2 linked regions of the Lytechinus pictus genome follow. The protein of the gene in region 1 purifies or fractionates together with the protein of each later gene. This does not show direct contact. Links are inferred from orthologs where the notes say so. Each region holds a gene or a part of one and is shown on either strand. Other genes may lie near its edges.

The links.
Region 2: the proteins of dihydrolipoyl dehydrogenase, mitochondrial-like (region 1) and dihydrolipoyllysine-residue succinyltransferase component of 2-oxoglutarate dehydrogenase complex, mitochondrial-like purify together in Homo sapiens (affinity purification with mass spectrometry; 3 studies listed by BioGRID and IntAct, counting the BioPlex papers as one, with this or other methods). This does not show direct contact. The link is inferred for Lytechinus pictus from reciprocal best matches to the Homo sapiens genes DLD and DLST.

What each region holds. Positions count from the first base shown.
Region 1 is NC_087247.1:3,811,378-3,818,350, forward strand, and holds the start of dihydrolipoyl dehydrogenase, mitochondrial-like, read right to left. Parts: upstream 3,044-6,973; 5' UTR 2,843-3,043; coding exon 2,795-2,842; intron 1-2,794. UniProt on the Homo sapiens protein: Lipoamide dehydrogenase is a component of the glycine cleavage system as well as an E3 component of three alpha-ketoacid dehydrogenase complexes (pyruvate-, alpha-ketoglutarate-, and branched-chain amino acid-dehydrogenase complex).
Region 2 is NC_087251.1:41,956,208-41,963,183, forward strand, and holds the start of dihydrolipoyllysine-residue succinyltransferase component of 2-oxoglutarate dehydrogenase complex, mitochondrial-like, read right to left. Parts: upstream 3,089-6,976; coding exon 3,029-3,088; intron 1,750-3,028; coding exon 1,716-1,749; intron 223-1,715; coding exon 159-222; intron 1-158. UniProt on the Homo sapiens protein: Dihydrolipoamide succinyltransferase (E2) component of the 2-oxoglutarate dehydrogenase complex. The 2-oxoglutarate dehydrogenase complex catalyzes the overall conversion of 2-oxoglutarate to succinyl-CoA and CO(2).

The DNA of each region.
Region 1 (6,973 bases):
CTAGCATTACCATTATTAGCAATGTCAATGACACGACAATCAATGACATTTTAGTTTGACATGTTGTTAAATCAAACTTTTTCTGCATCTGACTTATGCATAAGTGCAGACAACCAAAAAATTACTTTTTTTCTTTCCAGGGCTCTTTTTGGAGAAACTTAAAAATTTTCCAGGGCTACTTTTTCATTTTCCAGGGCTCTTTTTCCACTTTCCAGGGCTACAATTTCTACTTTCCAGGGCTACAATTTCTGGAGCTATTTCGCGGCTTTTTTGCGTTTGTGTGTGTGTGTGTGTATATATATACACGGTAGCTAGCATATACCAGGGAAGTATAACACTTCCCTGGTTTGACCTTCGCATTGTTTCTTCGAAGTGATTGTTTATGATTTTAGTGTTGTGATGATAGATGGATTTTGATGCTTGAACGATATCTGAGTTGATTCATGGACCTAATACAGACCTATTCAGATTAAATCATGGAGGTAGAACCTCCATGAATTAATCCAAGTTTGAATGTTTGATACTTGGTTGACGTGAGCTTTGCGTGTTTACTATTTAGTGTTATAGCCCATTTGTCAAATTAATCTAGAAAGATCTGTATTCGTGTCTAAAGACAATGTAAAAGAAAAAGAAAGTTCTGAATTTGTACAATTCTGAGGTAATTTATTTTATCATACAATATAGGTACCTGCAAATGTTATGAAGTTGAACAAATATCCTTCGTACATATTTGACTGAAAGTTATTTAAATGACACTTTTTAAAAAAGACTTAAAATTATTCATACAAAATAATGATATAAGTCATAAAGGTCATTGAATTGTTAAGCGTTCGTATCAGTTACACAGATTCATGACAAAAAGGCCTACCAGAACGTAAACTGGCAATTTCCATCATCCATCATGAATGCCTAGCCTTGCACAGCCTCTAATTGGAATGAACTTATCCACGTCTTTGCAAATTTTACCTGACCTAATTTCTCCACACAGTGAGAGAGGCCATGTGGCAGCCAAACCAAAACAGAATGAAAAGGGCGGCAATCTCGTACCCCCCCCCCCCCCACCACCACCACAAGAATATCAGATTTCCAAACATGTGCTTCTCAAGATTGTGCAATACATGACGGAGACAAAGAAAGTTATGTAAACAAATTGCCGAGGGTTGATGTCCCTGAATTAAGGGGCTAGTCTACGTTTTCAGTCACTTAAGAAAATGGCGAACTGGCCAAAGGTGAAATACATCATTGAAAAAAAAATGAATGTTTGGATTAAAATAACGAAGATTAAATGAAATATGACTGAAAAATATCCATAGTTGAATCTCTACTTTTATTACTGACAGAACAATAACATCATTTTTTTATTAACTTCTTGCCAATATTCCAATAAGGCAAGACTCCCATTTAAGACTAGAATGAAAGAAAAAAAATCAAAGCATGATTTTTTTTAAAGGGATAGACGAGACTCTTGTTTTGAACAGAGATATAAAAATATTTAAAAACAAACAAGAGGTGATAAACACTTCATTAAAATTATAATGAAGTTCGTAGTGAATTACAACTTGTAAAAGGAGAAATTAGCAAGAATAATAGGGAAATAAAGTTTGGAAGAAAAGAAGGAATGAGGAGAGACAAGCTTTGGGGGGAAGGATCAAGATGGGTGGCTGCAGCTCGACATGGGGCTAGATAAATGGGAGGGGGGGGAGCAATCATCTATCAAGTCGCCCAAAATCTTACACCTTCACCAAACTTCTCACACAATCCACACACAAATCCCAGTTCATGATACAATCACAAGTGTCGCTCAACACATGCGCACGTGGTCTCTACTGGCATTTTACAGTCACACACACAGAAATACACACTACACACAATGCACACGATGCATCCCCATACCACATGCAGTCACACTGAGCCTAAAGCACACAAGCAGAGAAACGTTCTGCTCGAAGTATATGACTCCTCGGCTCCAAATTCTACATTTATTTTATCTCAGTGCTTGGAGTCGGCGCTGGGGTAGATTTTTCCTCGGAGTACAGGTTCTCGGTTTTGCGCGCACACTCGGCTGGGCGTACGCACGGAATAGAACGTATGTATCGCGGTGCAGATTCGTTTAAAATCGTCTAGAACTAGACTAGCGCTGGGGCCGATTTTCGTCCATGAATGAGAGAGCATGGCAAGGACTTGAGTCCCTTTATCTCAGAACCGCCGCCGCTTGGTACTCGAGTCTCCAGAGATCAGGGTCGACTCCCCGACTCTGGCATAGAGAATCGGGTAGACTCGATTACCCGGCGCTGGCTCCCAAGCCTAGTTGACGGGGGCGATTATGAGTTTTGCAGTCGCCCTTGTGTGAATGTTTTTAGCCCTTTTCCGGGGCTCTTTTTGGACTTTCCGGGGCGAATTCGCCCGCCGCCCCCGTGTAATTTTTTGGTTGAGTGCAGACAACATAGACAAGGGGCATTGAGCTGTGCAGACTAAGTTTGTACACCAATGTAGTAGCCCATGCCATAAATTTAGTGCTGCAGTGTAGCAGGTGAATTCACTCATTTACTATTCGAACACATATATCACTGAATCGTGTTAATCACGAATTCACTTGTGTGCACAAGAAATTACACACCATCATTGATCACAATACAATCGAAGCTTTGCTTGTTTTAGCAGCCGACACCACCCCCTCTTGCCATGTAATACATAATTATAATAATTCAACATAACAATATCGATCATACATTCAGCTCTCGGGGAGTTAGTTGAGTTTTTCTGACACGAAATCGTGTGAAAACAGATAACTTACAGTCGAAAGACAGCGTCCAGCTCGGGTTACGACAGGTAAGAGCGACATCTTGTCATTAGCACATGTAAGGATTTTACCTCTAGATGGCGCGCGCGCTGAATCTGTTTGCAAAAATGGGATGACACTGGATATGGATGGGATTCAAAGTTTCATGTACAACATGAAATTAATTTGGAAGGTCTTTTTTAATATTTGAAATATGTTAAAAGTGGGGGTCTGCACTTAACATGCCTATACAATGTCAAAATGGGCATTTGGTACAAACGGATATTTTCACCATGAGATTATCATCTGAGTGAAGTAGTTGTGTGTTTGAGTTGAGCAAATCCGTCACTTGAAGTGATTTCTGATTGATAAGATATATCCTATTATATTAATAGGTTTTATCTTTTTCCGCGAGATAGCGGTCGGTTTGGGAAAAAAAAATCAAATCTGAATTTTTAGAACTCGCTTTTTCAGTGGTCAATAATGGCGCTATTGTTGTTTAAAGGATATCCTGCGAGATGTTGCGAGAGCGAATCGCGAGCTAAAAACTTTTAGACATTTCATGTAATAGACATGAAAATTATACATTCCGAGCAGTTTTTGTAATCATGAAAAAGATGTGTATCCAACTAAAGAATTAACGTGAGCGCCAAGCACGAGCTGATTTTTTTTTAATGTACTAGTGACCAGAAAAGGAACTTGTTAAGGACTGCATTTAGTGATTTATGAATAGGATACCGGCATATCTGTGTCGAACATCAATTCGGCGACCCTATGTGGAACATCAATTCGGTGCCCCCTATATCGAACATCAATTCGGCTCCCCCTCGGTTAAACATCAGCACCCTCTATGACAAACATCAATTCGGTGCCCCTAGGTCAAACATCAATTCCGCCCCCCCCATATTATGTCGAACATTAATTCGGTATACTCCCTATGTCGGACATCAATTCGGCGCCCCCGCCATTTCTTGATTTGATGTTGATGGGCATGTATAGTAGATTATGTCAGATAATGTTGATGTCTATTTGAGAACACACAAATGTATTTTATATTTTATATCTGTATCTATGGATGCATAAGTACTGAGTGCGAATGTTTACACATTTAGTTTAATTCGCTTAGCCAAATTCAATTTTACATTTTCTATATTCTTTTGTTTAATATATTCTGTTAAAGAATCGAGCAGTATTTCCATGTATGTATTTATTGTTGTTTGTCATGCATTTTATTTATTCACCTTTTTGGTTTTGCTCAATTTCCTAAGATTACTACATGTTCACATTTATTTTTACTTTGTAACATATTGCTGTACACTATGTATATAGTTTAAGTCTTGTTTTGTCATCTTTGTCTGTTTGTACTGGGCTGATATACATCTTTGTGGTTATTTTCATGTATATTTTACATTGTATTTTTATAAAGGGCCCCAATGAAAACAAGTGTTTCTGCTGATTGGGCTACCCTTTTTAAATATGTGTAATAAATTAATAAATTAAAAATATATATATATATGAAGAGCTCACTTGCAAAAGGGGTTTGGTCAATTTTTCATCAAATTTGATTATTTGGTCTCAATGTATAGATTTTTAGTAGCTCTATAAGATGATACCAAAGAAAAGTTGAAATTCCTATTTAAAATTGATCAAAAATGGCAAAGAAAAATCACTTTTTTTTTTCAAAAGGGGTTAGGTCCATTTCAGTTTAGTTGCAAAAGGGATTAGGTCCACCCCGAATTTTTTTGGAAAATAATATTTAAAAAAATATGAATAAAGGTAGATTTCTTTTCTACACAATTTTATGATGTCATGGTAGGGAATCTTGAAAATTTAGTTTCGCATAAGAATATGCAATATAGGAGAATTAAACAAAATAATTTTCTTGGAGTGGACCTAACCCCTTTTGCAAACAAACTCTTCTGAAGAGCTCATTTGTCAAAAGGGGTTAGGACCATTGTTCATAAATTTTATTGTTTTCTGACTCAAAACCTCTAAATTTTTAGTCGCTTTGATGAAAACAAAGACAATTTGAAATTTACATGAAAACGTGAAAAAAGTGGCAAAGAAAAATCACTTTTTTAATCAAAATAGATTGGATTCATTTTAGTTTACTTGCAAAAGGGCTTAGGTCCACAATAATAATTTTTAAAACAATTTATAGGAAAAAATTGGAGACAGATTTCTTTTATACCCAATTTTATGTTCACATGATAGGGTAGTACATCTTGACAATTTAGTTTCTCATAAGAATATTGCAGTAAGTGAGAATAAAAAACACGGTTTTTCTCAGAATGGTCCAAAGTGGACCTAAGCCCTTTTGCAACTAAACTCTTCATATATAAATAAATAAATAAATAAACAAATAAATGAATAAATAAATAAATAAAATGTCAAACATCAATTCGGCGCCCCTCGGCAAAACCTCAATTTTGCGCCCCCCCCCCCATGTCGAACATCAATTACGCTCCCCTCTAGATTGAACATCAATTTGGCACCCTATGTATAACATCAATTCGGCTCCCCTCTAGATTGAACATCAATCCGGCATCCTATGTAAAACATCAATTCGGCGCCCCTCCCCCCCCCCCCCTAGGTTAAACATCAATTCGGCGCCTCTAGGTAAAACCTCAATTTTGCATCCCCCTATGTCGAACAACGATTCGGCGCCCCCTATGTCGAACATCTATTCGGCGCCCCCCCCCTAATGTCGATCATCAATTCGGTGCCCCCCCCATGTTGAGCATCAATACGGCGCCCCTAGGTAAGTAAAACATCATTTATTTCGCCCCCCCTAGGTGGAACATCAATTTTGCGCCCCCTTTCCTCTTTTTTTTTCTCTCTTTCTTTCCCGTTTTTTTTTCTCTTTCTCTTCTTCTTTTCCTCTTTTTTCTCCCCTTCTCTTTTTCTCTAATTCCTTTCTCTCTTTGGCGCCCCCTTTTCGCCTACCCGGGGCCCCCAGAACACGCACATCATTATCTTTTACAAAACTAATTATAAAGAAAGAGCAAAGCGCGAACTTCACTTGTTCCATATATTGACTTTAAAACGAGTAACGGGTGCCAGTTCCCCCCTCCTCTATCATTCTTCCTCCTATTAATTTGTCTACTTTCTCTTCTATATTTTCTCCATCCTTCCATTTTTAATTTTCTTCTTTTTCTCTTTTTTCTCACCTTTTTTACTTTTTTTATGCGCATCCTATAGCATGCATAGGGAGCCGCGGCCGCTTTGGTCCCTGGATTCGGCTACATTCTCCCATTTCATTTCCTCCATCATTTATTTTGTGCAGGAGGAGGCAGTGGCTTTTATGCTCTTAAATTTACCTTTTTATATAAAAGAATGAACAAATGATCTTCCCTTACACCCTCTGACTCAGTGGCGTACCGTTGGTCAAGGCATGAGGGCACCAGCAAAAAATTTGAGTCACTTAGTGGGAGCGCGAAGCGCGCTCAATTGCCACGTATACTGACCTAATAAAGACATGTTAAGGACTGTGCCATCAAACGGATATGTTTCCCATTCATCAAATAATGATAGCGCGAAGCGCGAGGTGCCATTTTTTTAATAATCAGGCCTAAAAAGGATACATCATACGCAATCTTTGAAAATCATGATACGTGCCTGTCTCACTAAATAAACAATGCAAGTGCAAAGCGCGAGCTAGAATTTGTATACATAATATTGATCCAAACTAAGTGCTTGCTGATTTTATTAGAATTACACCTAAACACATGAAGCACGTCTTGTAGTCATTGTAATCATGAACATGATACTTATCTCACTAATCAAAATGCAAGCGCGGAGCGCGAACTGAATTTTTTTTAAATTTAGACCTGAAGAGGGGTAATCTAAGACTTATTTGTAGGAATTCACTAAGACCATACGTATTTCACGAACGAAATGATGCGAACGCGAAGCGCGAGCTAAACATTTTTGATATTCAGACCAGAAAAAGGGACATTTTAAGGACTGTTTATAGGAATTCATGAATAGCAGACATATCTCACCAATCTACTAATCCGAACGTAAGCACGGACTGGAAATGTTCTATATTTAGACCTTAAAAAGGGGCAATCACTTTAAGTAGTCATGAAAAGAATGTGACTACATAAAACAATAATAACTCGAAGTGCGAGGAAATATATTTGGTGTATATTGACTTGAAACGGGATGTTTTAGTACAACAGGATTACTAGT
Region 2 (6,976 bases), on another chromosome or scaffold:
CAATAATGCTTTCAACATTGGAAAAAGGGAGGAAGTTAAATGAAAAGCAACAAGTCTGCCTTGGGGACTTTTAGTGTGGTTACTCAGGGATGAAATTAAAGAGGTGGAATGTAAAGATGAATGGATGAGAGAGATGGTGAGATGAAGTAAATGTATACCTCAGAGCTTGTTGATACTTTGAAAGCTGATTATATGCCCTCCACTGACATCCCTCCGATGAAGCTTGAAAAATAAAACCATTTTCACAGAGATTAAGATAAAGGCTAATAAGTTGTATAAAAAAATCAAGGATCAGTTTAATTAATGTATCCCTTATACTTCAACTTACAGTGTTAAAATACAATCAAAGAAAATTACACAAGAACTTACATATACACGGGATATTTACAAATGTTTGGAGATACATGTTGAAACCGAGCAATGTTTTCAAGGCCTTTTGCCGGGACCCCCTGCTTTTGCAGGGAACCCTCCTTGACCAGAAGGGTATTCACAGCTTACTATTAAATAAGCCCTGATAATAACAGGCCGCTACTCCCTTACACCTTCTTAATTGGTTGTTTTTTGCCTGGTGAGCAAATGGTTAACAAGGTAAATACAATTATGAACCATACATTTAAGGTTTTATGCAAAAAGCCTAGATATGAATTAATTCTGAAAAGAGGAAAAGAGGGGAAATGGGTTTGTCAGGGTTACGTTTCTTGAGGAACTTTAACTTACCACATGTACCTACCATCAGGAGCAGTGATAGGGTGTTTTTATTGGGGGACAGCACAAACTTAAAACAGGGCACTCGCGTCCCTGCTTAAAACAATGGCCTTTTCCTCAATTGAATAATACTTTAAAGGAGAAGTTCACCCTGAAGAAAAGTTTGTTGTAAAAATAGCAGAAAAAATGATAAAAAATACTGGTGAAGGTTTGAGGAAAATCCATTAAAGATTAAGGAAGTTATAAGAATTTCAAGTTTTGTATTTCTGACATCATAAATGAGCAGCTGTGTGTGTGTATGTGTGTGTGTATTTGAGTTTTGTCAGATGTGCATCAATCAGATATGATTATTTACGTCTGGGACAGACCTTTAACGTCACCATCTGAAAGACGTGACAAGGGCTCGAACCTCGAACCTCTGCATCCATTTGTAACTTCCCCACAGCTTGGATTACAGGCACATGCCACAATGCCCATATGTTATGTAATATAAAATGCATAAATTTCAAATTTTCAATTGTTTGTGACGACTAATTTTTGTTTTCTTTTTAGGAAGGTGTGTGAAATGATTTGTCTATTGATATACTGAATGTCACAACAAAACTATTTTCAATTTTCGAAGTAAATTACATTTCATTGATTTGTTATACCATTCGATATTTAGGAAAGCTGCTCGCATATGACGTCACAAATCAAATAACTGAAATTCTATTTAATTTTGTATTCTTGGGTGGATTTTTCTCAAACCTTTTACAATATTTTTATTTTTTTTTCTATCATTTTTACAACAAACTTTCTTTGTGAATTTTCCCTTTAATAGGGCATTATATTCTTGGACATTTCTTTTTTTTATAGTCATCCTTCCCCTTTCTTTCCTTTTCTTCATCTTTCCATCGCTACTTGAAAAATCAAATAGGGGTGGTCACCTAACTGCCCCCTCGCAGTACTATTCCCGACTACTAAGGACACCTAAATTTTGATTGGGTGATAAGCAAGTTCTATTTTCTTACCTATATTCAACTTGATGTTCCTTGATATGCATACCTACAAAGATATGGATAAATACAAATAATTACTATTTCATAATAAAAACGAAAAGAGGTTTTAAATCTTTACTACACATTAAGCAAAAATAAAGATCTGTTTTTACCCAAAAAAATCAGCAACAAAAATTACTCACCACTTACAAAAATATGTAAGACAAATAAATATGGATATATCGAGAGTCAATATTTTGCTAAAGTTAATTAGAATATAAAATATATGTAGGGAAATAGAAAAGGTATTCCAGAGATTCAAATCTAGTTCTGTCCCTGCCAAAGATAAATGGTTATTTATTATTTTTTTCATTGTATTGATAATTAGACAGTAATATGAATGAGTATGGCCTTTATTTAGAAATAATACAACATACTGAACTGGAAATGACACAAACCACTATTTTGTTCAGAATCTTATCTATCCGATCATACTTACTCCCTGCTCCCCGTACGATTGATACTATTTAGGATATGATTACATGTACCCGTCAATATTTCCCTATTTTGTGACAGTTGATGACCATATAGAGTTACCCAAATAAAGGGAAAATTATCAGAAATGTCACTTGAAATCAATTTTTTTCATGAGAGAATCCATCTTGGAATCTGACATCTAACCTGAGTTGAAAATAGACGGGAGCAACGAGCGATTCCGCCCTCGTGTGCTTTGGAATCGCTCTCGCAACTGCCTAAAACTGCTATAGTACTGAGCGACTCCCAACATGAAGATCGCTCCCGTCAGCGCCCGTCCAGTCTCCCACTTATGACTGCATAGTAGTCAGACAGCCAGGCCAGCGAAACAGCAGTTTTTACTTTCATGGATCGTCGAGTTCTGACGTGTAACTGAGTGGATTTTTTAGAATCACGGGCACGGCGCTTCAGAAAAATGCGTATTGATTTTCAAACTCTCGATATCCTGGGTAGTGGGTACTATTTTTCAAAACGCTGCGCGGCACCAGCAGGTCATGCTGTACCTTTGATAGAAAATTTTTCCCTTTTTATTGGATTAATTTTGAAGATACCATCCTAAATTTGCAAGAAAATAAGATCGTAAACTCTGAAGAAAATCAATTTTTTTTTTCTGAGTACTTTTCTGCGACTACACTTTTGAAATCTGAACTAATTCACTTGGTGCTCTGGATATTTGGCACAGATCCTGGAATTTTAAGACCGAAATTAGGATTTTCAGTGGGGATTTTTGGTGAGTAAGTCAGTTGGTAGCGATTCGGCATGCAAGTTGAATTTTCCGACTCATCATCACCTGTGTAATTCCCCTAATTTACCTCCATCCACGTCACTCTGTTGTTCACTAGAGCTAGAAACTTCATCATCATTCTCTTCATCTTCAAAATCATCAATTTGAAAATCCAAATCTAGATAAACTTCTGGGTTTTCTTTCATTTCGTGATCGAAGTATTCAGTGACAGTGTGGAGAAACGTACCCTCGCAACAGGTTTTGCATGCAAGTGGAGCTCGACATGGGAGAGCCAATCACGTCTCTCGTACACTCATGCATGTCATCAAAAATCCCCAATTTCGCGGACATAATTCTGCGTGTTTGAAGCATTCAGAGAGAGAACTGTATACTATCAAATAACTGAGTTTCATCGGTCTCCATGATAAATGATTTACACCATCGTGTTCTTATTTTCTCCTTTAATTTGATATATAATTCTCCATTTTTAGGATTTGCAATATATTTCTACTTTAAAAATAAGCTAGTGTGTATATATATATAAATGTGTGAAATTATACGTGTACAACAGCTTTGGCAACTCTTTTATTTAAATATTGTGTGAAAGAAATGGATGAAGAGAAATATGATAGGCGTAGCTTAAATCAAGGTTCCCCAGAGCTATCTACCCTTTGGAAAATTTGGTGATGCCGAAAAAATGTCTCTGCCGGGAATCGAACCCGGGCCCCCAGCTTTGAACGCCGGTGCCTTAACCCGTCTCTGTGGTCTAGTGGTTAAGGCACTGTTCAAAGCTGGGGGCCCGGGTTTGATTCCCGGCAGAGACATTTTTTCGGCATCACCAAATTTTCCAAAGGGTAGATAGCTCTGGGGAACCTTGATTTAAGCTACGCATACCATATTTCTCTTCATCTATTTCTTTCACACAATATATATATATATAAAACGAGAGGCGAGAGCTTTACAACATAGTGTATACTTTGCTTCATCCTTGATTCTACTCTACTCTTCACACATATATATATTAAGAAATACATATAAATAGGCCTATGACATGCAGAATAAAATGAGATTAGATAAATCATGAAAACTTTTTTATTTGATTTGATTTGATTTGATTTATTGTTTTCTTCTGCATCCATAACATTCGTATAATACATTTTTCATAACATAATAAACATAATATGCTAGCATTTTTGGCATGAATCATAAATAAAGAGTATTAAAAAGATAATTTCAGACAAAAATGATTAACTATATGATATTCACAGTATATTGATGCAGTATAGGACCTATTATTCTTCATGGTCTCCCTCTAACCTCTCTGTAATTTTATTTTGTCTGAAAATTAAGCAGCTGGTGGATATTTAATTCATATAAATGATATATATTCCTTTTTTTAATAAAACAAATATTATTCAAAAATTTGCATCTTCAATTAATTTCATCGCAGATTACTACTCTCACAGGTCACCTTCCTCATTTCATTTCTTTTTTTTTTACTTATTTTTCTCAATACTTTTATCTATTCTCACATTTTTTGTTCTATTTAATTCATTATTTTGTCTTTGCAGTATTATAAAATCTTGGGACCAGGCCACTAATAAAACTTCAGAATGTCCGGCCATGATCCTGAATTACATGCAATAATATTATGTATCTGTGGAGAGAAAAATAAAACACAGCTCGCTTAATATCTGAATAAAATCATGATTGAGATAATTATTTATGAAACGTATCCTATTCTTGAAAATTGATTGCATTACTAAAATATACAAATATGCCTCTGGCAGTCTCGCCTGCATTACGCAATTCGATATAGCAGCAGTGCTGCCTCTGAAAACAGCTAATGAATAATTATTCATAGAAGAAAACACTAATATAATAATAAAATATGTCCATTCACCCGAAATGAACTTTGACCATGATCATATGACCTACTTGATTACCCTTATGTCGATGTTTCATGAGCTAGATCCATAATCTTTCTAAGTTATGATGTCAATTCAACACATACTCCCAAAATGCCAGAGGTCATTAACCTTTAAATGACCTTTGATCTTGGCCATGCTCCTGAAAGGGTATTCAGAGATACATTGCTGCTCTTATGTCCAAGTTTCATGAACTAGATCCATAAACTTTTAAAGTTATGATGACAATTCCTCAAATACCCCTAACATGGCTAAAGTTTGTTGACCCCAAGTGACCTTTGACCTTGGTCATGTGAACTGAAACTCGCATATGATATTCAGGGATACATGGTTGCTCTTATGTCGAAGTTTCATGAACTAGATCCATAAACTTTTAAAGTTATGACAATCCCTAAACAAGTGGAATGCCTCTGGCCGTCTCACCTGCATCACGCGATTCAATATAGCAGCAGTGCTGATTTTGAAAACTACTATAACTCGCACAAGATGTTCAGTGATACTTGGTTACTCTTATTTCCACGTTTTATGAACTAGACCCATACACTTATAGAGATATGATGGTAATTCAACAAATACCCCCAACGTGGCCAAAGTTCATTGACCTTACATGACCTTTGACCTTGATCATGTGACCTGAAACTCGCACAGGATGTTCAGTGATACTTGATTACTCTTATGTCCAAGTTTCAAGAGAAAGATCCATCAACTTTCCAAGTTATGATGGTAATTCAACAGATACCCCCATTATGGCCAAAGTTCATTGACCTTTGACCTTGGTCATGTGACCTAAAATGCGCAAAGGATGTTCAGTGATACTTCATTACTCTTATGTCCAAGTTTTATGAACTAGACCAACACACTTTCAAAGTTATGGCGGTAATTCAACAAATACCCCAATTTGACCAAAGTTCATTGACCCTAAATGACCTTTGACCTTGATCATGTGACCTGAAACTTGCACAGGATGTTCAGTAATACTTGATTACTATTATGTCCAAGTTTCATGAATCAGATCCATAAACTTTTAAAGTTATGATGGTAAATCTACAGATACCCCCAATTCGGCCAAAGTTCATTGACCCTAAATGACCATTGACCTTGGTCATGTGACGTGAAACTCATGCAGGATGTTCAGTGTTACTTGATTAACCTTATGTATAAGTTTCATGAACTAGGTCCATATATTTTCTAAGTTATGATGACATTTCAAAAACTTAACCTTAGGTTAAGATTTTGATGTTGATTCCCCCAACATGGTCTAAGTTCATTGACCCTAAATGACCATTGACCATGGTCATGTGACATGAAACTCAGGCAGGATGTTCAGTAATACTTGATTAACCTTATGGCCAAGTTTCATGAACTAGGTCCATATACTTTCTAAGTTATGCTGTCATTTCAAAAACTTAACCTCAGGTTAAGATTTGGTGTTGACGCCGCCGCCGCCGTCGCCGTCGGAAAAGCGGCGCCTATAGTCTCACTCTGCTATGCAGGTGAGACAAAAAACCCTAACATGGCCAAAGTTTGTTGACCCTAAGTGACCTTTGACCTTAATCATGTGACCTGAAACTCAGGCAGGATCTCCAGTGATACATTATTACCCTAATGTCTCAGTTTCATGAACTAGGTCCATATACTTTCGAAGTTATGACATTTAAAAAACTTAACCTTGGTTAAGATTTCGATATTGATTCCCCCAACATGGTCTAAGTTCATTGACCCTAAATGACCTTTGACCTTGGTCATGTGACCTGAAACTCAGGCAGGATGTTCAGTAATACTTGATTACCCTTATGTCCAACTTTCATGAACTAGGTCCATATACTTTCCAGGTTATGATGACCTTGGTTAAGATTTCAATGTTGACGACGCCGCCGTTGCCGTCGGAAAAGTGGCGCCTATAGTCTCGCTCTGCTATGCAGGCGAGACAATAACTAGAATGAAGTAATCAAATCTACTGCAGAGTTTGTTTTATTAATCATCATTTTATTAATTCCTTGGAATGCCGGGACCAGTTTCATCACTGCGTGGCGGACATACACTGTCCCTGGGCCGAGAGTGCCTGCAGTCCGTGCCAGAGGTCCGTGCATACAAGCGCACTTTGCACA